Coturnix japonica: one gene and its partners. The protein of the gene in region 7 interacts with the protein of the main gene of each other region in a pairwise test. Links are inferred from orthologs where the notes say so. Each region holds a gene or a part of one and is shown on either strand. Other genes may lie near its edges.

The links.
Region 1: the proteins of OTX1 (region 7) and RBPMS interact in binary tests that used the Homo sapiens proteins (3 or more experiments, as listed by UniProt). The two-hybrid records come from large-scale screens. The link is inferred for Coturnix japonica from reciprocal best matches to the Homo sapiens genes OTX1 and RBPMS.
Region 2: the proteins of OTX1 (region 7) and CHIC2 interact in binary tests that used the Homo sapiens proteins (3 or more experiments, as listed by UniProt). The two-hybrid records come from large-scale screens. The link is inferred for Coturnix japonica from reciprocal best matches to the Homo sapiens genes OTX1 and CHIC2.
Region 3: the proteins of OTX1 (region 7) and RGS17 interact in binary tests that used the Homo sapiens proteins (3 or more experiments, as listed by UniProt). The two-hybrid records come from large-scale screens. The link is inferred for Coturnix japonica from reciprocal best matches to the Homo sapiens genes OTX1 and RGS17.
Region 4: the proteins of OTX1 (region 7) and COMP interact in binary tests that used the Homo sapiens proteins (3 or more experiments, as listed by UniProt). The two-hybrid records come from large-scale screens. The link is inferred for Coturnix japonica from reciprocal best matches to the Homo sapiens genes OTX1 and COMP.
Region 5: the proteins of OTX1 (region 7) and SPRY2 interact in binary tests that used the Homo sapiens proteins (3 or more experiments, as listed by UniProt). The two-hybrid records come from large-scale screens. The link is inferred for Coturnix japonica from reciprocal best matches to the Homo sapiens genes OTX1 and SPRY2.
Region 6: the proteins of OTX1 (region 7) and SPRY1 interact in binary tests that used the Homo sapiens proteins (3 or more experiments, as listed by UniProt). The two-hybrid records come from large-scale screens. The link is inferred for Coturnix japonica from reciprocal best matches to the Homo sapiens genes OTX1 and SPRY1.

The regions. Positions count from the first base shown.
Region 1 is NC_029519.1:30,663,431-30,667,610, forward strand, and holds the start of RBPMS (RNA-binding protein with multiple splicing), read right to left. Parts: upstream 2,814-4,180; 5' UTR 2,187-2,813; coding exon 1,935-2,186; intron 1,859-1,934; coding exon 1,820-1,858; intron 1,714-1,819; coding exon 1,651-1,713; intron 1,272-1,650; coding exon 1,121-1,271; intron 848-1,120; coding exon 717-847; intron 443-716; coding exon 380-442; 3' UTR 373-379; intron 262-372; exon of another isoform or gene 158-261; intron 1-157.
Region 2 is NC_029519.1:59,083,043-59,087,175, forward strand, and holds the start of CHIC2 (cysteine-rich hydrophobic domain-containing protein 2), read left to right. Parts: upstream 1-1,310; 5' UTR 1,311-1,452; coding exon 1,453-1,571; intron 1,572-4,133.
Region 3 is NC_029518.1:44,751,525-44,754,369, reverse strand, and holds part of RGS17 (regulator of G-protein signaling 17), read left to right. Parts: intron 1-1,531; coding exon 1,532-1,720; 3' UTR 1,721-2,845. UniProt on the Homo sapiens protein: Regulates G protein-coupled receptor signaling cascades, including signaling via muscarinic acetylcholine receptor CHRM2 and dopamine receptor DRD2.
Region 4 is NC_029543.1:2,829,774-2,833,993, reverse strand, and holds the start of COMP (cartilage oligomeric matrix protein), read right to left. Parts: upstream 2,820-4,220; 5' UTR 1-2,819. UniProt on the Homo sapiens protein: Plays a role in the structural integrity of cartilage via its interaction with other extracellular matrix proteins such as the collagens and fibronectin.
Region 5 is NC_029516.1:136,865,555-136,869,437, reverse strand, and holds the end of SPRY2 (protein sprouty homolog 2), read right to left. Parts: intron 2,285-3,883; 5' UTR 2,234-2,284; coding exon 1,292-2,233; 3' UTR 513-1,291; downstream 1-512.
Region 6 is NC_029519.1:47,746,008-47,749,985, forward strand, and holds the start of SPRY1 (protein sprouty homolog 1), read right to left. Parts: upstream 2,801-3,978; 5' UTR 2,684-2,800; intron 1-2,683. UniProt on the Homo sapiens protein: Inhibits fibroblast growth factor (FGF)-induced retinal lens fiber differentiation, probably by inhibiting FGF-mediated phosphorylation of ERK1/2. Inhibits TGFB-induced epithelial-to-mesenchymal transition in lens epithelial cells.
Region 7 is NC_029518.1:2,095,944-2,100,128, forward strand, and holds the start of OTX1 (homeobox protein OTX1), read right to left. Parts: upstream 2,810-4,185; 5' UTR 2,630-2,809; intron 2,106-2,629; 5' UTR 1,848-2,105; coding exon 1,751-1,847; intron 1,226-1,750; coding exon 1,074-1,225; intron 573-1,073; coding exon 1-572. Other genes in the region: EHBP1 (EH domain-binding protein 1), read right to left, coding at 3,945-4,035, 4,098-4,185. UniProt on the Homo sapiens protein: Probably plays a role in the development of the brain and the sense organs. Can bind to the BCD target sequence (BTS): 5'-TCTAATCCC-3'.

The DNA of each region.
Region 1 (4,180 bases), on a different chromosome or scaffold from region 7:
TGTTTTTAGTTTAAGAGGAGTGTGACCAGTGTTGCTATAGGGCAGGAAGCTGTATGGCAGAGAGGGGGTGGGGTGACAGGGCAGTTGGAACTCCCACCCCCGCTGTGGATGATTAAGCATGGGGGGACAGCCTGTGCCCGAGCACTGCGCTCCTTACCAGCACACTGTGGTTCTGCAGAGAGCGTGCGTGCCCAGCAGCCGCCGGGGGGCTCTGTTCATACCCACAAGACTGACCGTCGGCCGCCATCACACACCCGAGACCTGTGGGTGGCATGGCAGGGCTCAGGGATGGGGCTGGCACGTCCCCCTTCCTACCCAAGTTTTGGCTGGCACCGCAGGTGTGCTACACGGAGGACACCGGGGGGCACTTACACAGCATTCAGCAGAACTGACGGGACTTCCAGCCCTGAGACCCAGCCTCGGAGGGAGGGAGCCAGCGCATCTGCAAGACATGGGGGCAGGGGGTGAGCAGGAAGGAAAACTGCAGCAAAGGGTAGTGCAGCCATACCCTGGGGCTGCGGTGGCTGCAGTGCTGATTCCTCCAGGAGGAGCACAGGTGCTGCCTGTCAGCGCTGCCTTGACAGGGGAAGTATGAGGCTGCAATAATATTTACCATTGCTCTTCCTCTGGGCAGCTGGCCCCAGAGCTCCCCTCCTTTCCCTCCCTCTTGCTCTGCCTGTCAGAAAGGCTGCAGTGCTGTGAGCCAGTGCCATTACCTGGGCATGCAGCGAAGCAGGGTATGTGAACGCAGGAGGAGGTAGAGCAGGCGTCAGCTCCGCTGGGTACAGAGGGTACGGCCCCCACACTTCAGGGCTGCCGGGGTAAAGTGCAGGCACTGTGAGCTCATCTGCAGGAAAAGGAGGAAAATTAATCCTAAAAGCAAGGGGAAAGTGGACAGCAGGTATAAGCTTTGCACTTCTGCCCAGGCCACCGTCACCTGCCCTTGCGTCATCCCAAGCACAAGCAGCTGGTTTCCAAACCCAACCACAGTTGCCGTGCCTCTCCAAAAGCTTCCCTGCACCCAGCTCCTAAGGTATCACTGCCCCAACTGCTTCAGTAAGAAAGGGGCATTGCCAGGGCCATATACTGGGCGGACCAGGGTCAGGATGCAAGCACTCACAGGGCTCCCTGGCGATGAACTGAGGTACAGTGTTGGGGAGGGGCGTGCTGGGGTTGGGAGTGCCCATCAGCTTGCTCTTGGCCATCTTGGTGTTGGCTTTAGCAAACTCTAACCGCAAGGTCTGGGGGATCTCAGGGTCGAAGCGGATGCCCTGTGGAAAGGAACAGGGCAGCAGAGGTCAGTTAGGCTGAATCTTGTGGTAGGGTGCTGCCCCCCATTCAAGAAGGCCATTTGGGCTAAAACAGCCTCGGATTTTGTCCCAATATCCCCACGGGCTGCTGGGGTGGCCGTGACCTCATGTGCTTGGCAGCGAGCATGGCCCCGTGGCTCACATTCCTCTGACATCCTCGAGCTCAGCACCATATTTGGTAGTCGGTATCCCGTGCAGCCACGCTCCCAGCAAGGGATTAGCGGCGTTTTGCCTCAATGCAAGGATGGGGAGGAACCGGGCTTCCCCAGGAGGTCTCCACGGGGTAATAGATACTGGGATCCATCTCTTTTGGTGTTCCCTAGGGGGTCCCAGCACTCACGTTCAGTGCATTCTTGGCGGCCTCAGCTTCTGAGCGGCTGTCGAAGCTCACGAACCCCACGGGCTGCGGAGAGAGGAGGCGAAGGGCGGTCAGGGCCAAGACCCCACCACATCCCCAGCAGTTGGTGAGGGCAGCCCCCAGGCAGGTGGGGGCACGGTGCAGCCCATACCTGCTTGGAGGTGAGCTTGATAAGTGACCCCTCATAGCCCTGCGGGAGAGAAGAGAAGCACCATTGGTTTCATTTGGCCTCAGAGGCCCTCAGAGCCCCATAGCGGGTGCAGTACCTTGAAGGGCCTGAAGAGCAGGTAGAGCTCGCGGGGCTTGATGTCCAGGGGCAGGCCGCTGACAAACAGGGTCCTCACCTGCAGGGGCAGAGCGTCAGCTGGTTGTGGGCCTGCAGGAGGCTCCCCAGGGCCTCCAGGCCACGCTCCTGCACACAGCTCTGTGCTCACGGCCTCAAGGAAGTGCCCGCTGTGAGCTGTGTTCCTGAAAGCTAAACCCGCCCGAGCCTGACTTTCCGGGTAATTTAGCCCCATGGCTGCGCAGCAGATAAGAGAGATAAAGGCCCTGAAAAAAAACCCTCCGAAATTAGGCCTCACAGAGATGCGGCTTCTCCTCGGTAATGACTTGTTTTCTTTGAAAGTTCAAACGCAGGTCGGCCAAGTCGGGCCAGTGCTGCGGTGCTCAGTGAGCAGGGAGAGAAGCGCAGATTACAGCAGGAGCTTGAAGGGGGGTGGTGGGGGAAATCCCATTTAGGCTTTTCCCCCCTGCCCAAAACCAGAGACAAGCAGAGGCTGGGGAAGGAGCTGCGATGCGGTCTCCCCAGCAAGGAGCCGTGGGGAAAGGCTGCCCCTGCTCTGCCACGGAGCGGGGCAGCTCCCTGACAGAGGCTGTGGCTCTGGAGCCTTCCCCGGGCCCTGCAGATGCTGTCAGTGCAGGCCGGGGTGGGCAGTGGCAGAATCCCCTCTGTGGGGGCTGGGGACCCCTCCCGGAGGGATCCTTCCACGCCAGTGGGCTGACACCCCCCATGGCAGCCCCACCACCCTGCCGCGCTCAGCCTTTCTCCCCGGCTCGCCTTCACCCCTCACCATCCCTCGTCACAGCCCGGGACTGTCACCAGGCGAGGGTGGTGAATGTGCTCCGGAGCCACCCCGTGCCCACCCCACCGCACCCCTCTGTTTCTGCTGCTGCCCACGGACAGACCGGGGCGCAGCCTCGTGCCTGCTCCGTCCCCTTCGCGCTGTCCCCGCCCGGCAGGTTTTCTCCTCGCCCCGGGGACATTCGGGGAGACCTGGCGGGCCTCGCTCCGCCCGAGAGCGGCCCGGAGGCGGCTCGGCACAGCAGCGGCGGCCGCGGGCGGTGCGACGGGCACCGGGTCAGCGCCGTGGCCCCTCGGCTGCCCCAAGGACGCGGTCACGCTCCGCCGCCCCAGCGCCGAGCTCCGCCGGTCAGCTCGGGCAGGAAGGGACCGTCGGGAGGAGCGCGGTGACTCATTCCCCAGGCATCCGATCACCTTCCCCGGGCTCGCTTTAATGTTCCACCAGCGGTGAGCCGCTCGGCTGCCCCCGCCCCGACCCCCGCCCGCGGCGTGACCGCGACCCGTCCTCGTGCCCGCGCACTCGGGGTGAGGGCGCGGCGGCCGGGCAGCGGCGGCACCGACCTCGCGCTGTGCCGGGAGCGGTGCCGCCGAGAGCCGAGCGGGGCCGCCGTCCCGGCTCCCGTCCCCGGCCAGGCTCTGTGCGCGGCCGCCGTGCCGCCCGACGGGACCTTGTGCCGCCGCCTCCGCTCCGGGGGACGAGGCGCCGTGCCCGCACCCCGCGTGAGTCCAAGCGCCCCGCGTCCCACAGCCCTTGTGCCGAGGCGCACCCGGCTCCGGGCCGCTCCGCCTCCCCCCCCACCAACTTCCATAGCTTCCCGCCGCGCCCCGAGCCCCACGCCCAGGCTGACGGGACCCCGCGGACACGCGTGGGGGCCGCACCGCTCCCGCCCCGGGACCCGGCCCGCCCTCGGCGGCTCCCCCTCCCCCGCCCGGCCCGCTACCTCCTCTTCGGGCAGGCCCGGCTCGGCGGGGCCCTCCCGCTCGGCGGCGCCGCTGCTCATGGTGCCGCCGCCGCTCCGCCACCCGCCCGCGGCTGCCTCCGGCGCGGCCCTGCGGCGGGCGGGAGGGAGCGGGGCCGGGCGGGGCGGGGCCGGGCGGGCGGCCACACGGCGCTGGGGGAGGGACGTGGGGACACGGGGTGGGACGGGGCCGGGGACGGGAGCGGGGGTGGGACGCGGAGCTGGGGCGACGGGACGCGGGGTGGGGATGGAGGACAAAGGGCTGCGGTCTGGGACGTGAGGTTCGGTGCGTGGCACGTACGGCTGGGGACGAGGACGTTGGAGTTGGGACGTGGGACGCGAGGTTGGGTACGTAGCACGCGGGGCTGGGGACAGCGATGGGGACGCGGGCCGTAAGGCTGGGAGCACGGTGTGAGCACATGGCACACGGGATGCGGGACAGAACGTGGAACAAGAGGTGTGACACAGCTGG
Region 2 (4,133 bases), on a different chromosome or scaffold from region 7:
GATCTAGGGGTGTTAACTGACAGCTGGCTGAACACAAGCCAGCAGTATGCACAACTACCCAAAGAGGCCAATGGCATTCTGGCTTGTATCAGAAATAGTGCAGCCAGCAGGAGAAGAGAGGTGATCATCCCTCTGTACTCTGCACTAGTGAGGCCACACCTTGAGTAGTGTGTTCAGTTTTGAGCTGCTCACTACAGGAAAAACAGGTTCTGGATTGTGTCCAGAGAACAGCAACGAAGCTGTGAAGGGTCTGGAGCAAAAGGGAAAGTTCAGGTTGGACATTAGGAAAGAATTATTCTCAGAAAGAGTGGTTACGCATTGGAATGGGCTGCTCAGGGAGGTCAGGGACTCACCATCCCCAGAGGTGTTCAGGGAATGTGTAGATGTAGCATTTACAGACATGGTTAGTGGGCACAGTGATGATGGGCTGACAGCTGGACCAGATGGTTTTTGAGGTCTTTTCCAACCTTAATAAACTGTGGAATGAGAATCTCAACTCGCTTTCAGGGATTCATGGTTTATTTTAACATGCATTATCCAAAAAGGACCATTCTCCTGCAATCTCTCTGCTTTGCCCTCCACGCACAGAGGACCGGACAGGCTCCCAGAAGGCTGCAGTACTCAGACACACTCACCGCACCAATACGTTTTGGGCTGACAATAGCAGGACACGGGGAAATGGTTTTAAGTTAAAAGAGGGAAGATTTAGGTTGGATGTTAGGGGGAAGTTCTTCACTAGGAGAGTGGTTAGGCCCTGGAACAGGCTGCCCAGGGAGGTTGTGGATGCCCCGTCCTTGGAGGTGTTCAAGACCAGGTTGGATGAGGCCCTGGGCAACCTGATCTAGTAAATGTGGATGTTTGGTGGCCCTGCCAGGCAGGGGGTTGAAACTACATGATCCTTGAGGTCCCTTCCAACCCGGGTCATTCTGTGATTCTGTGATTCTGTTTTGCACATCCCCCATGCGAGCAGCAAAGCAGCCATTGCTGGAGACCACCTTCCTCACAGAGACCTCAGCTAAGCCATTAGTCCCAACAGACACCGGTCGGTTGACAGCAGACCCCCAACCCGCCTCACTACTTCTGCGGACACCCCATAACAGAGCACAGACACACACTTAACACCCACCCAACCCCACTCGGCCGTACCGCCCCCCGTTACCCACCAGCGCAGCGCCCGCCCCCGCCGCCCATGGCGTGTTCCCGTGCGTTGCGGGGCGTGGCGTGCTGCCGGCCGGATGTTGTTGTTGTTGTTCCTGCCCCGCCTCTCGCCCCCTCCCCCCGCGGAGGGTGACGGGCGCTTCCTCGCCCGTAGCCGCGGTCTCGCAGCCGCCGTCTCCCCGCGGGCCTGCGGCCGCCCGCTCCGACCCCGGGACCTGGGGCCTCCCGCGGCCCTCCCCAGCCCGGCCCGCCGCCTCGGCTTCTCGCTTCGACCTTCCCCTCCCGGGCCCGGCCATGGCGGACTTCGACGAGATCTACGAAGAGGAGGAGGACGAGGAACGGGCGCTGGAGGAGCAGCTCCTCAAGTATTCTCCCGACCCGGTGGTGGTGCGCGGATCCGGCCATGTCACCGTGTAAGGGCCGCGCCGGGGCCTGCGCGCTGGGGGCGGGGGGAGGCCGGGGACGGGCGGCGGGCCGAGCTGCGGACGGCAACCGGAGCTGCTGCCGCTGCCTCGGTGCTGCTGCCCCGCTGCCGGCCTGGGCCCCGTGGGGGTCGCTTGGGGCTCGCAGGGAACTGCGGGAGGCGAGGAAGATGCGGGGCTGTGAGTAAGAGAGGAATGCGAAGCACGGGTCCTAAGCGCTGAGGTGTCAGGAAGTCAGGTGCGTGGGGCTGCGTGGGATCAGGAACTCGCTGCCGAGCTGTCTGCCTGCCCGCTGCACACCCGCCGTCCACCCCCGAGGGCTCTCGGGGGGCAGGAGGAGCCCCTGGGACACGCGGGTACGTGTGCGGTCGCGTTGGGTTGCGGTGGGTGCACGTGGTTTCACTTTGTCTGACACGGGAGTCGCTGCGAGTTTTGGTTTGCAAATATCCCCGGCGCTAACGCTGTGAGTTGGTGTGGGGCTCCTCAATAATTAAACAACTGAGGGTGGCTTCCCTCCAGTCGCTTCCATCGGGCTCGCGCTGTTGAGGCATAGGGTTGTCAGCTGTGATGTACAGCTTCAAATACTGAAATAACAACGTAGAGAAAGCACCGTGCGACAGACTTTATGTAGATACTTCTGTTTGTGTGCGTATACATTTAAAAAAGTATATTTTAACTGTTCAACAGGACTAGCCTGGCAGCAGAAGCATCAGAGTTGAAGGTCTTGTGTTCTTCTACTCTGACTCCTGTGACCTCTGCTGATTTCCAGATACTGACTCGTCCAGAAATCTGGGTTTAACTTCAGAATAGTTTGGTGGCGCTTTGATTCATCACTGCTATAATTGATTGATATTATGAAATGCTGACGACGAGGTGGTGCAGATTGTCAGCTGGCTATAAACAGGAAACAAGATGTGATAGACAGAGTGGTTTGGAAGCTTGGGAGGGTGTGGAGTGGGCAGGAGGCTGTGAAGCCCTCTGAAGGAAAACATATCCAAAATATTCAGTGGCTGACTTTGTATTTCAGTTCAGGGTGATCAGGAAGTTTTTGTTATCCAGTGGCTGTTTGCCATCTGTGAAAATAAGCTGGTAGCCTTCATTTTTCTTTCTGGTGAGCGATCAAGGACATTGATGGTTGTCTTATTGACAGATGGAAGTGTATCAAGAGCTGAAATTGAGGCAAACTCTGGTTTCTTCTCCAGTACATGAAGACCAGTTGTGCATGATCTGTTCGTAAAGTCATGAGGAAGCTTGCATACCATGTCTGTGACTGGTATGGACTTTGTGGCTGAAGGATAGCTGCCTCATTAATTGTTTATTAATGGTCACCGGTTCATTATAACTGTAATACCTTCCTCAAAATATTAGTTCTGTAGCTTCTGGATGAGTAAAGAAGTGTGAGCGTGGACCTCCAACATCATGCAATTGGATTTTAATGAACTTTGTTTATTGTACTGGGCACACAAACAGTTCCCTGAATAGTGGTAACCACTTTCACCTTCCTACAGCCTATAACATTTTTCTTAGTGATGGAGAAGCTTATTACTAGTACTTAGATCACTGTCAGGACATTCACTCGTTGAATTTAAGAAACAGGACAAGGTGTACATGTCTAATCAGTTTGTTCTGCCTGGCATAAAAGCATGTATGTGCTTTGAAGGCCTGGCCAAAAAGTAAAATAAAAATCAGTGGTTAAATAAAGTGAATGCTGGGTTGGTCTGTCTCTGACTCTGCTGTTTAAAGAGGTACTGACTGCTTTTGCTGTGTGTGTACTTAAATAGAAGCTCTCTTCTTCATTGACCTTTGTCATATCCTCTGATCTTCTATAGGAGTCATAATGTTTTGTTTGAAATACGTCACTTCTATGACTACAGATTTATGTCAGGAAGGCATTTACTATGACTCGATTTCATCCAACAGACAGTGGAAGTGTGTGAGAGTCCTTTCTAAGCTGAGTAGTTTAAAGAGAGTCAAAAGAATATATTATATTGTATATATAAGTATATGTATCCTGGTACTCAGTAGTAGTATTTGAGGTGGCAAGTTGGACATGTGCCTTCACAGCCCAGAAAGCCAACCTTATCCTAGGCTGCATCAACAGGAGTGCAGCCAGCAGGGGGAAGGAGGGTGATCCTGCCCCTCTGATCTGCACTTGGTGAGGCCTCTTCTGTGGAGTACTGTGTCCACATGTGGAGTTCTCAGTGCAGGAAGGACATGGACCTGGAGTGTGTCTACAGGATGGCCACAAATATGATCCGAGGGATGGAACACCTCCCCTGTGAGGAAAGGCTGAGAGATCTGGAGCTGTTCAGTCTGGAGAAGAGAAGGCTCTGGAGTGACCAGATAGCTGCCTTTCATTCTCTAAAAGGGGGCCATGAGAAAGAAGGGAACATTCTCTAGCAGGGTCTGTTGCGATAGAACAAGGGGAAATGGGTTCAAACTAAAACGGGGGAGATGTAGATTGGTTATAAGGAAGAAGTTTTCTACAATAAGGGTAGTGAAGCACTGGAAAAGGTTTCCCAGAGATTTGGATGCAGTGTCCTTAGACACATT
Region 3 (2,845 bases), about 43 Mb from region 7:
AAAAAGCAAAAATTGCTTTGGTTATCCCTAGATACCATCAAATAGTCTAAGAATTGTGATCGCGTATTTTCTCTAATGAAAGGTGGGATAATACCCAGGAAATTATATACAGTTTTCTTCAGTGTCCAACTGAAATTATCTTCAGCATCAAATCATGGTTTGGAACAGACAAATATATAAACATACAATAAATAAATAAATAAATAAATAAATAAATATCCAGGCATTGTAGAAGAGTTTCTTGGGCTATGTCACGTACCTTTAGCAACTCTTCTTTGTTTCTGTATGTGTTAATTTATGCTTACTTGTGGACCTTGCTTGCTACATTTTACCTCTGCTTTTAGTAAATTTTTGCAATTTCATTCTTGTGAATGAAACCAACAGCCATTTAAAATTCCCTTACATTCTCTGTGACATAGTGTATGTTTTAACTTTGGAGTGAGATAACTGCCAGTACAGCAAGCTACTGTATTTCTGACAGTGTATATATATATATCTAGTAGGCACATATTTACTGTACGTCCTGTTGTCTTCCAAAGCCAATATGAACCAGCAGTTAAGACTAAAGCAGTCTTTTGGGACTTAGGATTTAACAGAACTGCTCACATAATTCATTCCCTAGGAATGCAAGGATGTCATTAACCCAACTGCTTCTGCCCCTACTGGAAACCGTATGAGGCAAATGAGAACAGTTTGCAATGCTTTAGATCAGAATGGGAGCTTTAAAGTTCTCGTTCATCCCAGCATCCTATTCTGGATGAAACTTTGGCATAGGAGCTGAAATATTCAGCCTTGTTCAGTGATGAAGTCACTGAGGCAGAATGTCCCAGTGTGCTAAACAAATACCTTGCACACATCTATTTACCAAAGAGATAACTTGAATAATTGCAATTAATCTTGCCATATGGCTTTAGTGAGTCACTGAAAAACTACAATGTGAATTAAGAGATCCATAATTAATTTGTTTCATTCTATAATGGCAATTAATTTTTACAGTATTCAGTGGCAAAGGAACACCACTATCCTGCCAAATGTGAGCTTTCTTGTCCAAGCCATTTTGCTTGGTAATGAAGAATCGATTGGCTAGCCTCATGAACTGGTCTTGTTAAGATCTGTGACACATTCAGAGGAGAATGCTGAATAGGAAACTTCGTGAGGGTCATTCAACATTCCTTTGTGAGAAATATTTCAAAATATGTAAAAAGTAAAACATTTCAGTGTGTAAGAACTTATTTTGGGAAATCCAGGTTACTGCAGAACTTTATTTATTAGCACTAGTATTGTTAAATAGAGGCATTTCATCTTACAGCTATTAAGATGGATGCAAAGACCAAGTCAAAACTGAAATAAAGTCTATCATCTGAGTCTGAAATCATGTGTGTGCATTTTAGAACATTTACTCTGAAAGTTAGAGTGTACCTTGAATAAAGTGATGAACTTAGGATGTTCCATGGAGCCATATGAAAGAAAGAGATATATACAACCTTTCCAGCATTACTGTATAATATCCATCTGTTCTCATCTTCTTCAGGTTAGTCTTGACTCCCGGGTGAGAGAAGTGATCAACAGAAACTTGCTGGATCCCAGTCCTCATATGTATGAAGATGCCCAACTCCAGATATACACCTTAATGCACAGAGACTCTTTCCCAAGGTTCTTGAACTCTCAAATTTATAAGTCTCTTGTTGAAAGTATTACAGGCTCTACTTCTGAAACTTAGTTTTAATTTTAATTTTCAAATAAAATAACTTCATTTTTTCGGGGGTGGGCGGGACAGAAGAAAAGTAGTTTATTACCATCTGGAGCTGGGTTCCTGGAGAACTACAGTTTAGCTCTACTCAGGCTACTGTGAAGAAAACAAATACATACTATGGTCTCTGTCTACATTTTTACCAAGGTCCTCCTTGCTTGAAATAGCATGGGAGAGAAACAGTGGATTTGCCAAAATACATTTGTTTCGCACTCCTTTCACCCAACTGCAGTCAAGATTGCAATGATGTATTTGTAGTTTTATGAACAGTCTCCTTGTGTATCCTCACATTGCATGTGCAAGGTAAAACTGCTTCACTTACCACTTAGTTGTTGCAATATTTAATCCAATAACATAAATTATATCTGTATTTAAGAACTTTTTTGTGCAATACAGTCTAATGGTACATAGAAACAACAACTGCAGCAAACCAGAAAGAGGCTTGCATTTTTTTAACATCACTAACTGAAAAAAGCCAATTTTTAAGGTGTAGCATTACTCAACATGCTCTACTGAGTACAATACACTGACTTTTTGAAGCCAATATTTCTGTATAGAAAGAGCTATTTATCACTGTTTATTTAAAATAAATCAAGTGGAGGATTCCTCTGGTTGTTCACTGCCAAAACTGTGGCATTTTCATTACAGAGTTTGCAATGTCAAAAAAAAAAAAAAGAAAAAGAAAAAATAAATAAAAAAGAAGGAAAAAAAAAAAAAAGCACAAACCACTTAAAGGGATCCATATCTGAGTGACACAATCTATGCGCTGATATTGTTTAATTGTTAAAAGAACAAAGATTTTCAATGTACATTTCAGATGTCAGATACTGTAATTGATTTATTAAAGACTGGCTACCCAGTTCTAACACTGTTGTATAATGTTATGTACTTCAGCAAAAAAAAAAAAAAGAAAAAGAAAAAAAGAAAAAAAAAAGAAAAAGAAAAAAAAGAAATAAGAAAACAAAAACAAGAACAAACACAGAAAGCTTGATAATTTAGTTTTTTTTAATAAAGAAATTTAATAAAAGATTGCCTACATGTAGCATTTTAGAGTATTTTAGAACACTTCGATGAATTGCATCTGTCCTGTAAGAT
Region 4 (4,220 bases), on a different chromosome or scaffold from region 7:
ATAACCCTATCCCTCACAGATTTTCCTTCTGAAACTACTCACAACATCACAAAAGCTATGAGACATCTGGACCCCAGTGGAGTTTCACAAAAGGCTCTCGAAACACCCCAAGGCAGTTTTACCACTTGGGGTAGAATTATTGAGTCCAGCTCCATAGAGGGGCTATCACACCACTTTTAGTAAGGGATCTGGCAAATGGATCGATCGTTAGAGGCTGACATTCTCTCATTTCCCCCTTACCCAGGCTTGTCTAAGGGAAGGATGCAATGCAGAGGTGACAGCATGAAAGGAAGGGAGACTGCTGCTTCTTGTCTGTGAAAGAATGAGTCTCAGTCCAGCACTTTCCCTCAGTCAGTCTAAATCCAGCACTTTCCACCAGAAGACACAGAGCAGATTGAGAAATCCATCCAGAGCAGCCAAAGCAAATTGGCCCCCAAAAAATCCTAAAGCTATTACATGAAGGAAACTGCAAGTTAAACCATGGCCTGTAAAAAGGTGAGTCTGTAGAGCAGTGAAATTCCTGGTCACACATTCTCACTGTTTGATTATGAAATCTATTAGTGTGTTGATCATCCAAAATCCTCGGGGACACCACAGACGGGAAAGCCCCAGAAAACAGTAGTTCAGTCTTTACAGTGTTATAGAAGCAGAATATTTGGATATTTACAGAAGGTTTTTGTCCTCGTTTTGGCCTCAGACCTCCCATATTCAGGAAAGGCTTCCCGTCCCTGTGGCTATGCACAGTTCTTGGAGGTAACTGTGTAGTCCTGTAGGCACAACTGAGCGTGCATGTTCAACACAGCATGCAAACAAGTGTTAGTTCTATACTACAAGAATGCTGCAGCAGACAGATTTCACATGTTCTCACACCAAATAAATTTATACTAAACATTAATTTAGTTTGCTTACGTTACCCTAGGTATCATTCTGCTTGTCTGGAGCATGTCACCTCATGTTATACACAGCAAGTGACTTTTTGGTGCGAACCCAAAGATCAAATCAACCACGTAGGTTTATTTCTTGTGGTTTGTGGAGGAAAACAACAACAAAAAAGGAACCATTTAATGTGAGGCAAATAAAATATGAATGCATTTTCTGCTATCCAAGTGGAGTATTAATTACTTGATGGTATCAAGACATAGAACCAAACAAACCTACATTCAAAAAGCCTTAAACTCAGACACCTAATAAAAATGTTGCTTGAAAGCCCATTATCTAAATAACTGGATACTTCTACGTTTCTAAGCTTTCAGAGGCCAAAAAAAGGAAACCAATTTTTCAGCAGAGGTTGTGGGCTGCCTGAAAACAACCATTTTTAAGGCCATGTGAAGTTGGCTTGTATAACAATGTGACCCCCAGCCAGCAAGGGAGCAATGTTAGCATCCAGAAAGAGCTGTGGGAGACTGTCAAGAGGAGTCACGATTCTCCTGCACAGAGCTCAGCTTTTTTCTGAACACTTCCAGCTGCTCAGAATGACAAACCCTGTTGCAATACTATAAACTGGTGATCACGTTATGTGTAAAATTCACAAATTTTTAAGTTATGCCCATTATTTAGCATTCAAACTAACTCATCAAAGCCAGAAATTAGAGTATTTTCTTTGGTTTTACTGTGGACTGAAGAAATTCAAATAATTGGCAGAAAAAGAAGAAAGCTTCCAAACTCTTCAAGTCAGCGTGAAGGATGGATGGTAAAAAGAGAATCTCACTCTTTCAAATACATTGTATGGACAAGTTGCAAGTTAAAGGATTTAAAAGATTAAGGGCTACCAGCAGTGATGCCAGCTCTCTTCAGGGAAGCAAGAGATCTTTGTCTACATGGACAATCTTTAAGCTCATCACCACCTGTTTTGCCTTCCAAAAGTCACTGATAATTAATTTGTTAGTGGAGGCTGGAGGGTAAGCTGAACACACGAAACATGTTACCTCTATGTGACTCTGCTGATGTGTAACAGCACAAGAAACTGTTTGTATTTAGAAGCTGCAAGTCCTCAAGCTCAGTGACATCAGGAATATTCACTGCTGAGAAATGACATCCATTTTCCTCAGCAACAATTAGTGTGGGACAGTATGGTGACAAAATAGTGCTTATTGATCACTTCTTCTAAATGAACGGAACTGAGGCATATTATATTTACATTAGGCTAATTATAAATGATGTCTTCTGGATGTGAAGGCAGCCATCAGTGTATCTTTACATTCTAGAAACCTGGAGTCATTTCTCTTTATTCTGCAAGAGATGCTGGGATCTTTTCTTTTCTCTAATGGTAGTAAAATAACTGCACAGAGAAAAATGCAGCTTCTTCACAGCTTTCTGAAGCTGACCAAGACATGTTGTCTCCACAAAATGAGGTCATTCCAACACTTATTTTCCTTGGACTCATTCTTCATCTTTCTATATTCAGATCTAAGTGCTGGAGATGCCATAAATCAACACTGCAGTGCAGCTTAAACACACAATAGTAGATCAGAAAGTGTTGGGTCATGATGATGATTAATTCTGGATACCTCCTCCTGTTTTAAAAGGGCAAGTTAAAGAGTGGATGATGTACTCGAACTTATTATTATCTGGTGGGGAAACATCTTCCAGATTTGCCAGTAAAATTTGTTCTTTTTAAGTATTATTGATAAAAATAAATTAATAAATCTGAGCAGTAGATGGTGTTTATCTGGGCTTTGGCATAACAGTATTTCTACACTCTGCAGTGCCAGGTTAGTTACACCTTTTTGCCTGGCTGGCGTTGACATCACAAATGAAACGAGCACACAAACAAACAACAAAAAGAAAAGCTCATGCTAGTTTAAAGTTTAAATATTTTCCATCTCTGTGTTTTTAACTGATGTTTGCCAAGCAAAGAACAAAAGTCAGAAGGAAAAAGTTATTTTTCAGTCTTAAGGTCAAGTTCTAAAAATAAGTGAAAAACACCTCCGCTCTCCAAAATAGCATGCTAAGTGTTTTACAGTGGTTCTTATATATTTATGGCCACAAGAAACCAAATTATTCTAGAAGATAACCGGTAAGAATTTTAAGATAATATTTTCTACTTTCTGTAATGGGATCAATAGTACCTATGGCATTCTTGAGCCAGATTTCTCTACCCTGTTCTTAAATGTCTCCAGTGATTGGAGGCTCCACAACCAGCTCAGGAAGCCTCCCAATGCTTTAGATTCCCATTGCTAGAAAACATTTCCAAGGGATGCTCTTTAGGCTTTTCTTATTCACCATGCACATGCAGAGTAGATCAGTACCTTCTTCAAAGGAGCATTATATATTAGAAAACATGCATTTCAGTTCAGTATTTTTACATGAGCCTGGTAATGTAGGTAGATTTGCAGCTTTCATACATCCACTATAGAAAGGCGGAGATAAAAAAAACAATGGTCATAGTCAATGCAGGCTGTCAATTGTTAGGTCTGAGTCTTCAAGTCTGAACTAAGTCACATCAGTCATAAATTCTATTAAATGCCACCATGAATAAAACTGTCAATGTCACAGAAGATGTATTCTCTGTTCTGGTGAACTGTGAGATTACAAATGAAGCTGAACCAACCTGACACATTCATTCAGTGCTCACTTCTATTTCATTCATGTGTAATAAGCCCAATATGTTAGAACTTCTCAGCATCTGTTTTGAATACCATAAATGAACATTTGCAAATTCTAAAGACAGACATTGTGGAAAGGGCTGGACAGTGAAGTTTGATGCCCAGCAGTGAGCAGAATCATTAGTCTTGTCCTACCCTTCTGCTGAGTGTTTCCAGCCAAAACAAACTTCTATCTTCAGAAATCTGCAAAACATGATTTTATGGTTTGATTACGTACAAACAGTTATTTCATCTGTTGCTAAAACACAGTCTCAACAAACAGGATCCCTAAATGATTTATGTTTAGAACTATTTGTGGCCCCAAGGTAACAATGTTTAGGTAGGAACTAAGTAATGTAAATAACAACACCAGTGACTGAGGAAAGGCAGATTCACTATTTGACATCAACATCTACAGCAAAACAAATACTGTAAGAAAACTCCATCAGTCAGTACAGAGTAACAGCCTCACCTCCTCTCCATGTGCTTCATTCAGTGCAAGATGCAATAATCCATTCAAGGTCGTGCTCCATGACTTGTTTGAAGAGTTACAGCTTGCTGAAATCTGGTTTATGTCTCTTAGCTTCAAATATCTTAGGGAAGCAAAATACTGAAGGTCACCAAAGACTTTTTATA
Region 5 (3,883 bases), on a different chromosome or scaffold from region 7:
TTCACATCTATCATCCCCTGTGGCATATTCTTCTGCTTTTAACAAATAATCCTGTAAGCTTTTTGCACTGACGATATCAATCTTCCCCCTTCTTCCCCCCTCTCTGAGTAAAGCTATGCAAGCCTAACTTTTTTTTTTTTTTTTTTTTTTTTGTGAATGATTACTTATTTCCTATCTGAAGCACAAAAGCTCATCACTTACAGAATAGGTCAACCTTTCAGTGCCCATTATTGCTAGTCTGGAATGAATCAACGCGCTCTCCTATGTTCACTTTCCTTTTCAGATGCAGGACCAGCATATGTGACATTTGTATAAAGGAAGCGAAAATCCTGCATTACTTTCAGGTGAAGCAGTAAACAAAGAAGAAAAAGTACACTTAAAAGTTCTGTTTTGATTTTCAAGCTGGTCAAATTAGATTGGCCATGGCAATATTACTTCAAAGTCTGCAATTTAAAGTATTGTTTTTCCCAACTCAAAACAATAAATGGGGGAAAAAATGACAAGTAGCCCAGTTTAATTTCAAACGTTAATATATTTTCTATTTTATAGTGAACATATGCATCGTTCACCCCTTATTTGCAGCAACTATGACGTCCTCATAAAAAGGGGTGACACTTGTAAGATGCCTCTTAAAATAAATATTTCTTTTTATAAAATAATAAAACTTCAAATAAATATTCTTTACACTAAACAATATGTTGAAAAAATTAGAAAATAAAGGCTGAATTTTACTGTAACTGTACAATATACATGAAGTCCAAAGGGAAATCAGAGTCTTGTAATAGAAGGTTTCCGTAAGACAAAATACAATCTAAAAACATACTGATTGATTCACATTCTTCCGAATGTACAACATATTAGTATAATATTTTGTGACTGTGCCATGTCTTATGACACCACTTATTTTTCACAGTTGAAAATATTATTGTATATACAAAAATATAGCACATTATCTCTGGCAGAAAACAATGAAAAAAGGGAGTCATTTGCTAATTTACAAATTTTGCAAGTACTATTCACAAACCATGGAGTTGCCTAGGAGTGTCTGTGTTGCTTTAGCTTATGCAATATGTGGGTCACGATGTACTGCATTGCCTTTTTTATTCTGCATCCCACTAGTTGGATTCTAACAAGCCTATCAATTAAGATGGCACACAGAGAAAAGCATGTCACTGCAAACAGCAAAGTGTACCCCCAACCCTTCTACTACAGTGCCAAGACCTTAGCTGCTTAGTTGGTTGCATATATGTTAAAATAATCCTTATTACTTGATTATTTCTGATTGGTGATGCTATGTTGGCTTTTCAAAGTTCCTGGGGGGGACACTGGGAACTTTGCAGCAAACCGTGTTGGAGTGTTTACAGCGGCACCCAGGCCGATTGACCCGGTCGTAACAGCCCTGGCATAACTTAAGGCAACCCTTGGCTGGCAGGTAACACCACAAGCAAGGCAGGAAGAGGGACACCACACCCATGGCCGACCACCTAGTGCAGCAGTGCGACTGACTGCAAGAGCAGGGGTTGTCAGCGCAGTTGTCCTCGTCATCGTTGGAGCAGTGATAGAAGAGGCCCTTCACACAGCACACACAAGTCCCATAATCGACCACGTTCTGGGCTGAGCAAAGACACTGTTTGTCACAGATCCAACACGACGGAAGGGTCCTTGGATACGTGCACTCCTTGCACTTGCACTTCCCACAGTCCTCGCACCTGTAGCTGTGTGCTCCCAAATCTTCTTTGCTCAGCGGCTTCAGCTCACTCGACTTGAGCTCAGACTTGGGCTGCATGCGGACTATCCCATCAGCAATTGGCCCTGAAGATGATCCTAGAAGTCTATGTTCAGAGGAATTACTGCTTGTACTTGTCCTTGTACTGCTCCGTGAGCCTGTGCTGACTGTGCTGATGGAGCGGGACAGAGGTGCCCTAGGAGAAGCGTGCATTTGCGTGTGCTGAACCCGGCTAAAATGGCGATGCTCAGGCAGGCCGTGAGGCCTCTCATTTTTGGGTTGGTTTGCTGGACGAGGAGCAGACTTGACCCCTGGCCGCGGAGCCACCGTCGGTCCCTCTGTGTACTCATTCGTGTTGCGGATGGCTCTGATCTGGTCCAGGGACAGGATGTGGACTTGCTGCGTCAGGACATCCCGCAGGTCGGGCTCCCCATGCGGCCTCCCACTGTCACGCCGAGCCTGTAGCAAGGCCTCCGACCCACTGCCGTGCTGAGTTCTCGTCTCCATCGCTGCCCGGAAGCGTGCTCACCCCAGCAGGCTTAGAACACATCTGAAATCCTGGAGCAACAAAGAGAGGATTCACTAATTGCAACACATCTCATGCTCTCCACCAGCCTGCAGGATTCCACAGTACTGCACACATTCAAAGTAATGCATCAGCCATTAAAAAAGGATTCACAGCTCAGGGGGGAGTGCAGTGCTGGTCAGCTAAGTATGCTCTACTTGGCCTCCCCTGGCTACTCCTGCAGAAAGCTTAAAGAGACTCTGTTCTAGGTCCGTGCATTTCAGCCTGTGCCTCTAGAAAGCCTAAGGATGACGGTTGGTAACTAGGACATCCCAGGCCATCCTCCTGCCAGACCACAGCCTCTAATGTGACCAACTTTCAGCCCCTTTAAGTGACTCTTCTTTTCACACGATACTACTGAAAACCTTATTTTACATTAAATTAGAAAGAGCCTGCAAGCATTTAGCAAGTGTAACATGACCTGCTGATGACAGACATACAATTCTCCAATTTTGTTTAAAACTGGATAATATTTTGGTAGGCCAGTTTCTTTACACATTAAACTTTACATGATGTAAATAGGAAATTTTAGTTTAATACCAATGGTCCCAAGAAAAACACTAAATAGCAATAAAATGTTTGAGGTTAGACATTAAATGAGTTAGTGCTACCAAAAACTTCAGCAGCACAAGTAAAAATATCTTTCTCCAATATTTTAGTGTGTGTCATACTTGTACACCACTGCAATTGTTATTTTAAGGCTCAGTACTACAAAAGCAATGCTACCAGTTTTGGTATTTATAAAATGTGTAAAAAATTCCATAGACTACACCTCAAATATTACCAAGAGTGGCTCCTGGGAGAGAGGCGTGAATAATGCCATCAGATAACATCAGCACCCAAGGAGGTTACTTGGTTGCTAACAGCTTTAAAGGATGAATAACTACAAAGTTGAAAGGCAGTCTTGAGAATTTAAATGGGAAGTCAGGAAAAGACCCAAAAGATGGGGACTTGCACATAACTTACTTCCACGTTAAAATATGCACAAGTTTCAAGCACTGACCTCTGAATCACTCAGTATTTGTTTTGCCTTTATCATATTTTAAAGCAGTTCCTAAATCCAATTACCTACACAAAAATCCAGAACAATATTTTACAATTAAAATCCAAGCAGGAACCAAGCTCCTTACAAGGACCACACAATGTCTTCAATTATACCTAGAGAGAGCACCATAGTGTTACTCTGTACACATCAGTTACCAACAAGAATACTATACCACAGTATAATAAAATATAGCCAAACACTTTAACAATGAACATCTCCAGACACTGTCTTTCTTCTAACAGCAGCGGAAAGCATTTAACCTTTTAACTCCTGGTGCCCTCCCCTCAAGTGCTTTTTCCTCCCCCCCCAAAAAAAATCTAGGCTTTAAAGAGTAACCGACTATTTTAAACACTGCCAACTCCTGGTTTTGACTGCAGAGTGTGTCATAGTGCTCCCCCCAGAAGTCCTGCAAGCTTATCACGAAGCAGCATTACTTATGTTTTCTTCAATTTCACGCTTTTGCTGTATAGGAAGTTTCAGAAAGTAGGCATTCCCTCATCCGATTAAAATAAAATAAATTAAAATAAAATACTCTCCCCATCCCCGA
Region 6 (3,978 bases), on a different chromosome or scaffold from region 7:
TTGTGTCTCCCGTGGTCCCCAAGATAACGTCATAGGATAAATTCAGCTTAAAATTACAGCGCACTAGTAACAGTAGAAGGTACTGGCTATTCCCAAAACGTCAAGCTAAAGAGTCCAATCCTGACAGAAACCATTTCAAGGTGTAGAGCGCATCTTTGTGCAAAGCCATCTCCAAGACACCAATCAAATAAACAGTTCCGAAAGCATACACAGAGCAAAGTAGGCCTCACTTCGTTCTGAAGGAATCCCCAGGAAAAACCCGGTTGCTTTTCTTGGATGTTCTTGAGAGTCACACACTTTCAGACAGCATGCAGTAACACGGAACTTTCTTTTTGAAATTAATCTATGGAGGTTTTTTCTTACAGCACTGGGGCTTTTCTTTTTTTTAGGACTAGGGTAAAACATGTCAGCTCTAAGGATGGGGGAAAAAAAAAGCCTAAGATTTACAAACACCCCTCTTCTCCAGCTGATGCTCACTTACAAGGTTGATTTTGTCATCACACCGTGCCAGCATCTTCCAGAATTCAGAATACATCATCTCGTGTTAACTTAAGATAGTCACTATGGATATGCCAGGGTGGATGCTTAAGTACAAACTGCCTACAACTTGTTTGGTCAGTGTGGCAGAGCTTGCCAGCAGGAATGGCCACAGGAACGGCCCAGGGCATTGCCTCAGTTTCTCCTGAAGCCATTAGCTCTGCTTCAGCCCCTATCAGTGCTGTTCTGGGACCTTACTCCTACTGTCTCACAGTTGAAAGTCAGCTGCATTCCCTTGTTTCACAGGGCCCAAGGTTCTAACCTCACATCTGCTTAGCATGTTATTTTCCACAAAGCAACCATCTCCTATCACATGATCTCAGGGGACAACCACGTAAACTTCCATGAAAAACAGCAGGGAGGTACAAAACGGCCCGCTGGAGGTACTGGATCCTTTTGATGGCTACAAATACTCGTAGGAAAATAAAACTTCTTTGAGCTTAATGATGTACTGTGGGCTTTTCTTCTCCATCTCATTGTTTTTTCATGTAGAGTTTAGAAATAAACAATGAGCACACTTAGAAGGAGGAAGTTTTCCACACATGCTTTCTATTAATTTTATTTCCTCCACAGATTTTCTCATAGTTTTACTCACCAACGTTTTCCTTCTGTTCTCATTGAGGAAAACAGGCAGAATTTCCCTCCTTTCCCCACTAGTTGCTACTAAATTTCTGGAAGATCCAGAAGACATTTCATTTTAACATTAAAAAAAAAAAAGAAAGAAAAAGGTTTTTGCAGCAGTGCTGACTGCTGCCAAATAATTATTTAATAATTATAATGAAATATTTCCAAGAGGAAAAAAATCTGTAAAAATACCATGATTTCATTCCATTATAGCCACAACAGGTACAAGCAATGCAAGGAAGTAACCCATAGTGCTGTACAGGTTGGCTGAGAAGGGGTTTTATTCTATTCTTTATTTACTCCAATGAAAAGATGACACTGGAAGATGACATCTGGGGACTGGCTCTCACCTCAGGGATAGAATTCCATGAAGGCCACCTCTCTGCACTACCCAGAGACTGTGAGACCAATGCAGAAGCCAGTGGGTTTGGCCTAGGACAGCTTAATCATGGAATGGCCTGGGTTGAAAAGGACCACAATCATCACCGAGTTTCAACCCCCTGCTATATATGCATGGCAGCCAACCACCAGACCAGGCTGCCCAGAGCCACATCCAGCCTGGCCTTGAATGCCTCCAGGGATGGGGCATCCACAACCTCCTTGGGCAACATGTTCCAGGGCATCACCACCCTCTGCGTGAAAAACTTCCTCCTAATCTCTAACCTAAACCTCCCCTGTCTCAGTTTAAAACCATTCCCCCTTGTCCTATCACTGTCCATCCTCATAAACAGCTGTTCCCCCTCCTGTTTAAACACTCCCTTCAAGTACTGGGAGGCTGCAATGAGGTCTCCTCAGAGCCTTCTTTTCTCCAAGCTAAACAAGCCCAGTTCCCTCAACCTTTCCTCACAGGAGAGCTGCTCCAGCCCTCTGATCATTTTAGCAGCTCTCCTCTGGACCCACTCTAAGAGCTCCACATCCTTCCTGTACTGGGGGCCCCAGGTCTGGACACAGTTGTGGTAGAGCTGGGTAGAGGGGGACAATCACTTCCCTCTCCCTGCTGGCCACCCCTTTTTTAATGCAGCCCAGGATGTAGCTGGATTTCCAGGCTGCAAGCTCACACTGCTGGCTCATGTCCAACTTAATCTTGGATTTGATTTTACTTTGAAAGAAAGAAAAAATGAATCATAATCTCAACTTAAGTATTTGAGAGTCAGGCTCCAGAAGCACATTTGCTAATCCAGCGCTGATAAGGTTAATGAGATCAAAGCCAGACCCCACTGAGTGTTTAACAGAGATGCTTCCTAACATGGGTCAGGGTGACTACAGCTGTGTGTCACAAACACACCGAAATCAGCATCAAGATGACACAGATCAGCCCTTGCTCTGATTACACTCGCTACTCCCACTTTCTGCCTCCCACCGACTCTCTCAGCCCCTATCTTTCCAAACTAAAATCAGTGAGTGTTTGATTTCAGGGCAGAAATTCATACAGTCATCTTCAAACATTGTGTCCGTCTCCTCTCCTCCCCAGCCCCCACTGTTAGGCAGTGAGGGCTCCTTGGGCTCTGCTTCAGGCACTTACCTTCTTATCCAGCAGGCAAACCAAAGTCCAATCCCTTCAATTCTGTGATTCGGCGAAAAACTCAGACCCTCAGCAGTCAAGTATGCAGGGAGCAGCTCTCCCACCATCTTCTTTTAAGTCTCCCCAGCAAGCACGGAGGGGCCTAACAAAGCTCTATGCAGCCAATTGTGTTATCAAGGCACTTGGCACTACCAGCTGACCCTCGATTGCTATTCATCCCTCGGGAAAATAAAACACCCTTTTGTAGTGAAAGTGTAACCGGTTACTATGATGCGTTACATTAACAAAAGCAGCTTTTTACCAAAATTACGGATGATGAAAGCCTGGATGTGGGCTCAGACCAAGGGAACCAGTTGTTTCTACATGTTTCAGACAGCTTAACCAAGATTTCCACGACACTAAGAAGAAAGAGGTGGATGAGTTATGTTACATGTTTGTACAAAAAACAGCAGTGAGTTCTGTAAACCAAATTTCAAGGATTTTCTGTCACAGAGATTTTTTGTGTGGCAGCATCCTGTGCACACCACCGTAATCTCAGTATTCATGGGATCTCTGGTATTTTTGTGCTTTGCTTGAAATCAACACAGAATTTTTTAATATGATTTTCTATTTTTACTTTTTCTTTTCTAGGGGTCCTGCTTATTAAAGAGCATAACCATCTGAAAGATAGAATCTGTAGGGTAGAAGGGTAGAGCTTGCTGATTTGGTGGTGAGGAAGCATGCCAGCACATTCAAGGTTGTATTTGTGTTCTAATCTACTTAAGCACCCCTTGGCCTTCACACCTGCAGCCCTGTTTAGGGATCCCTCACTCTCAAGGCAACAGCTCTCCATTAAAGCTGCGGTGCCCAGGTTTGGGCTGTGGCAGTGCAGCCAGGGGGACATTCACCTGAAAGGAGCCCAATGACTTTGGTCGCCTCACCTTACTGCACCCAACACATCCAGCTCCCAGCTAACACAGCAATCCAAACGCCACGGAGATGCCTCATGCATAACAACGTGAGGCCAAATAGACACAATTCACATCCTCAGCTTTGGGAAAGCTCACTGACAGAGAAGCTGCTTTCCATGGCATTAAGCAGAGAAGGCTGGACGGGAGCAGCTACCCTGTGTGAAACCTGAAGCACTCTCCAGCAGTGTAGAGAAAAGACATGACCTCATTGTTCCACAACCCAGATAATCCATTCCTGGATAAAGCGAGAGACAATGAGTATTTCACCTTGAAGGTTATCAAAGAGTTTGCCACTCTCCATGGAGGCGTTTGCTTCCCCAGACAGGGATGTGAGAACTTCTCTGT
Region 7 (4,185 bases):
CCCGAGCTCTGGCTCAGCGGGTGGTGATGGTGGTGGCCCGGCACTGAGGAGGGCCCCATGGGGCTGAGCTGGTGGGGATGGTGGTGGGAGTGCATGGGGGCCAGGTAGGAGCTGCAATCCACTCCCCCGAAGTAGGACGAGGAGGGCGGTGCGGGGTAGCCCTGCCCGTACCCACCGCCCTGGCCGTAGGACACGGGGTAGCTGGCGGAGGCTGCGGGCCCCGCGCGCTGCATGCAGGACGCGCCGGCAGGTGGCAGGGGCTCGGGCACCGTCACCCCGGCCGGGGCCGCACCAGGAGAGATGGAGGCCGGGCTCCAGATGGATGAGGCCGTCGTGCCCAAGGAGGCCGGGGCAGCCCCAGCCGCCGCTGCCGCCCCTGATGAGGCCGAGCTGGAGGAGGAGGAGGAGGCCGAGGAGCTGGAGGCAGCTGCCGGCGGTGTGAACTGCCCGCTGCTCTCTGAGCCTGAGCTCTCACGGGCCGGTGACGACTTCTTCTTGGCTGGGCGACTCTTGGCTCCACCACCGCTCTGCTGCTGCTGCCGGCACTTGGCACGGCGGTTCTTGAACCAGACCTGGGGGAAATGGGACTGTGAGCAATGGGGCGAGGAGCAGGGGCCCTGAGTGCCCTCCCGCAGCCAGGCAGCCTCACCCGCACCCACACCCCGCCATTACACCCACGGAGCCCTGCCCGCGCCGTGACAGCATCACCCCAAATGCCCTCAGAGAGCAGTGGGGCGTCCCATACTGCTGCACTGGGTTCATTGGAGCTTGAGGCCAAGAGAGCCCACCAAGATCAGGACTCAATAAATGGCCACGGGGAAGGGGCCAGCACCTGCACACCCACCCCACAGGCAGCACTCCGAGGCTGCTGGTGCACAGCAAGGCAGCACAGGGGCTGCTAACCCCACAGGGTAGGTGGACGGGGGAACACGAATCAAATAAGATTGAAAAGAAATACAAACGAGCAGAATATAAACAAAAGCCCCTTCCCCTGAGCAGCACGGCCCACGCACACCCGAGGGAGACTGGCTGAGAGTGGCCCACCACACCAAGTGCCCCTGTCCCAGCGGTACCTGCACTCGGGACTCGGGCAGGTTGATCTTCAGGGCCACCTCCTCCCGCATGAAGATGTCGGGGTAGCGCGTCTTGGCAAACAGGGCCTCCAGCACGTCCAGCTGTGAGCGGGTGAAGGTGGTGCGCTCCCGGCGCTGCTTCCGTGGGGTGGCTGCGGGTGGGCACCGTCACTGTGGCACCGCGCTGCCCCGGCCTGAGCATCCCCCCCCCTCCCCTCTGCAGACCCCACGTTATAGAACCCCTTGGACCCACGGCACTGCCATGTGGGGCCGGACCCCATCCCGCCGCGGATGGGGTGAGCGGAGAAGCATTTGGGAAGGATCAGGCCCGGCCGCGGTGGGAGATACATGGAGATTTCGTTGTGAGTAAATAAATCACTTTTCCACCTCCCCTCCTCCTCCCCCTTCTTTTTCTTTTCTTTTCTTTTCTTTTCTTTTCTTTTCTTTTCTTTTCTTTTCTTTTCTTTTCTTTTCTTTTCTTTTCTTTTCCTTCCTTTCCTTTCCTTTCCTTTCCTTTCCTTTCCTTTCCTTTCCTTTCCTTTCCTTTCCTTTCCTTTCCTTTCCTTTCCTTATTTTCTTTTCTTTTTCTTTTTTAAATTCTCCTTAAAATTCCCCTCCAGAACAAACGAAATCCGAGCGTGGGGAGGGGGGAGAGGGGGGCCGCGTTTGTGACTCACCCGGGTACCCGACGGAGGGGTGCAGCAGGTCCATGGCGGGGCCCGGCAGCCCCAGCCCGTTCATGCCGTACGGGGGCTGCTTGAGGTAAGACATCATGCTAACAGCCGGGCGGGTTTCCTCCAACGTCCCGCAGGAAAGTTAAAAAAAAAAACAACAAAACCCTAATACAAATAAATTTTTTTAAAAAAAAGAAGAAGAGAAAGAGGAAAAAAAAACCAAAAACAAACAAAAAAAACCCCCAAAACGAACGCAACAAAAAGAGCCCCCGGCCGAGCGGCAGAGCCGCGCAGTGCTCGGTCCGTCCCGCGGCGCCGACGCTCGGTCCTCAGGCGGCGGAGCGGGGTCGGCCCGGTCCTGCGGGGAGAGAGCGGGGTCAGAGAGCCGCAACTTCGCAGGTTCGGGGGCTTTTCTTTCTTTCTTTTTTTTTTTTTTCTTTTTCTTTTTTTAAATAATTATTCTTTTTCGAAACGAAGGTGAGTTGCGGGCGAGCGCAGAGAGGCACCGTCGCCCGGCGATGGGGAGAGATAAAGCAATTATTTAAAAAGATAATTGGATTAGGAATCAAAAGGAGGGACCGGAGGAGGGAAGTCTAATTAATTTAAAAGCGAGCGGACGGGGACGTTTTAATTAGAAATGGACGAGAGTTGAAAAGAAGGAGTGAAGAAGGGGAGCGCGGAGCGGCACCGGCACCGGGCGCGGGGTTCCGGGCCGCGAAGGGAGGGGGGAGGAGGACGGGGGGCGGCGTGGCCGGGACCCCCCCGGCCGGGTCGGGCCGGGCCCCCCCTGCGCGGCCGCGGAGCGCGGGGCGGAGCGGAGCGGGCGCCCCCCCCGGGAGGGGGCGGTGGGGGCGCGCAGCTCGACCGGGCTCCCCGCGTTACCTTGCCGCCGGCCCGCGCTGTCGGGGCGATGGAGCCGTGGCCCTGATGAGGTTTGATCGCCTCCGCGCCGCCCTACCCTTGTATGTGCGCGCAAAGCCCGTGCGTAACCAACCCGGCGCCAATCCGCGGCCGCTCCCCGCCTGACTGACAGCCGCCCGGGCAATGGCAGCGCGGCCCCGGGCCCCCCCCCCCGCCCCGCGCCGCTCCGCGCCGCTCCGCACCGCTCCGCGCTGCCCGGCGCACCGCTCCCGACCCCTTCCCCTCTCCCTGTCCCCTGCCCCTCGCCGCTCCCGCACCGCTCTGCCCCGCGGGCGACGGGACGCGGCGGCTCCAGAGGAGAGAGAGAGAGAGAGAGAGGGGCAGGGGGGGAGGGTTGTAGCCCCGGAAGGCCCCAAACTTTGTGGATTTCTTAAGAAAAAGAAGAGAAAACCGAGGGAACAGGCGCGGCGAGTGGCCGGGAGCGCTGAGAGGCGGTGAGCGCGCCCCAACAAGACGCCCGTCCGCGCTACAGCTGAACGCGAGCGCACCGCGCACCGCACCGCGTACCGCGTACCGCACCCGCAGGGCTTCACTCCCCCCTTCACCCTCTCCCCCCTCCCCCCCGCCCCCTTCTTTTCGTTTTTCTTTATTTCTCTCCTTCCCCCGTACTTCCCCGGTTCCTCGGCGGGGACACCCGAAGCCCGACGGCGACGACGAGGAGGAAGACGAAGGCCGCCCGGCGCTCCCTGTCCGGCTCCCCCTGCCGCCCCTCCCCCCCCCGCCCGCCGCTTCTTACCCCGCCGAAGTTTCCCCGGCCCGCGACCGACCAAACTTTCCCCCCCCCACCAGCTCCGCGCTGTCCGTCTCCCCCCGGCAGCACACAGAGGAGGCGCTCGGTCCGGTAAGAAAGATTCGGTTTTTATTGAAAACGCTTTCTCCGTGTCTCGACACTGTAATAAATAAACGGGGGCTCCGCGGGGCCCGGCGCAATAAATACGGCCCGGGGACAGCGGGGGGTGCGGACCGGGACCAGGACCGGGACCGAGAGGGCCCTCCCCGTGGGGTCGGTGTTGGATCTCCGGGCCCCTCTAACCCTACAGCACGAACCCGGGGTTGCGCGGAGCTCCGGACGGGACCCGCCGGCTCCGGCCCGAGGGAATGGGGGAGTGGGGGGGATTGGGGGAGAGTGTGTGTGTGTGTGTGTGTGTGTGTGTGTATGTGTGTGTTGGGGGGGCTGATTTGATTTGATTTTTTTGCAAAACATTTTTTTTCTCTCTCTTTTTCTTTCTTGGCAGCTTCTCGGCGGCGATTCGGCAGCGCAGGACGGGGCCGCCGCTCACTGCAGGACGCACTTCTCCTCCCGCTTGGCCATCTTGCCTTTGTTTTGCTCCAGAGTCCGCTCCAGGTGCTCGTCCTCCTCCTCGGCCCTGCGGGGACACCCGGGGGTGAGCGGGGGCACAGAGCCCGGCCCCCCCCGCCTCTTACTCACTGCTTCTCCTGCGCGTCCAGGTCCCGCACCAGCGCGTCCCGCTTGTTCACCAGCAGCACCAGCTCGTCCAGCAGCAGCTGCTCCCTCC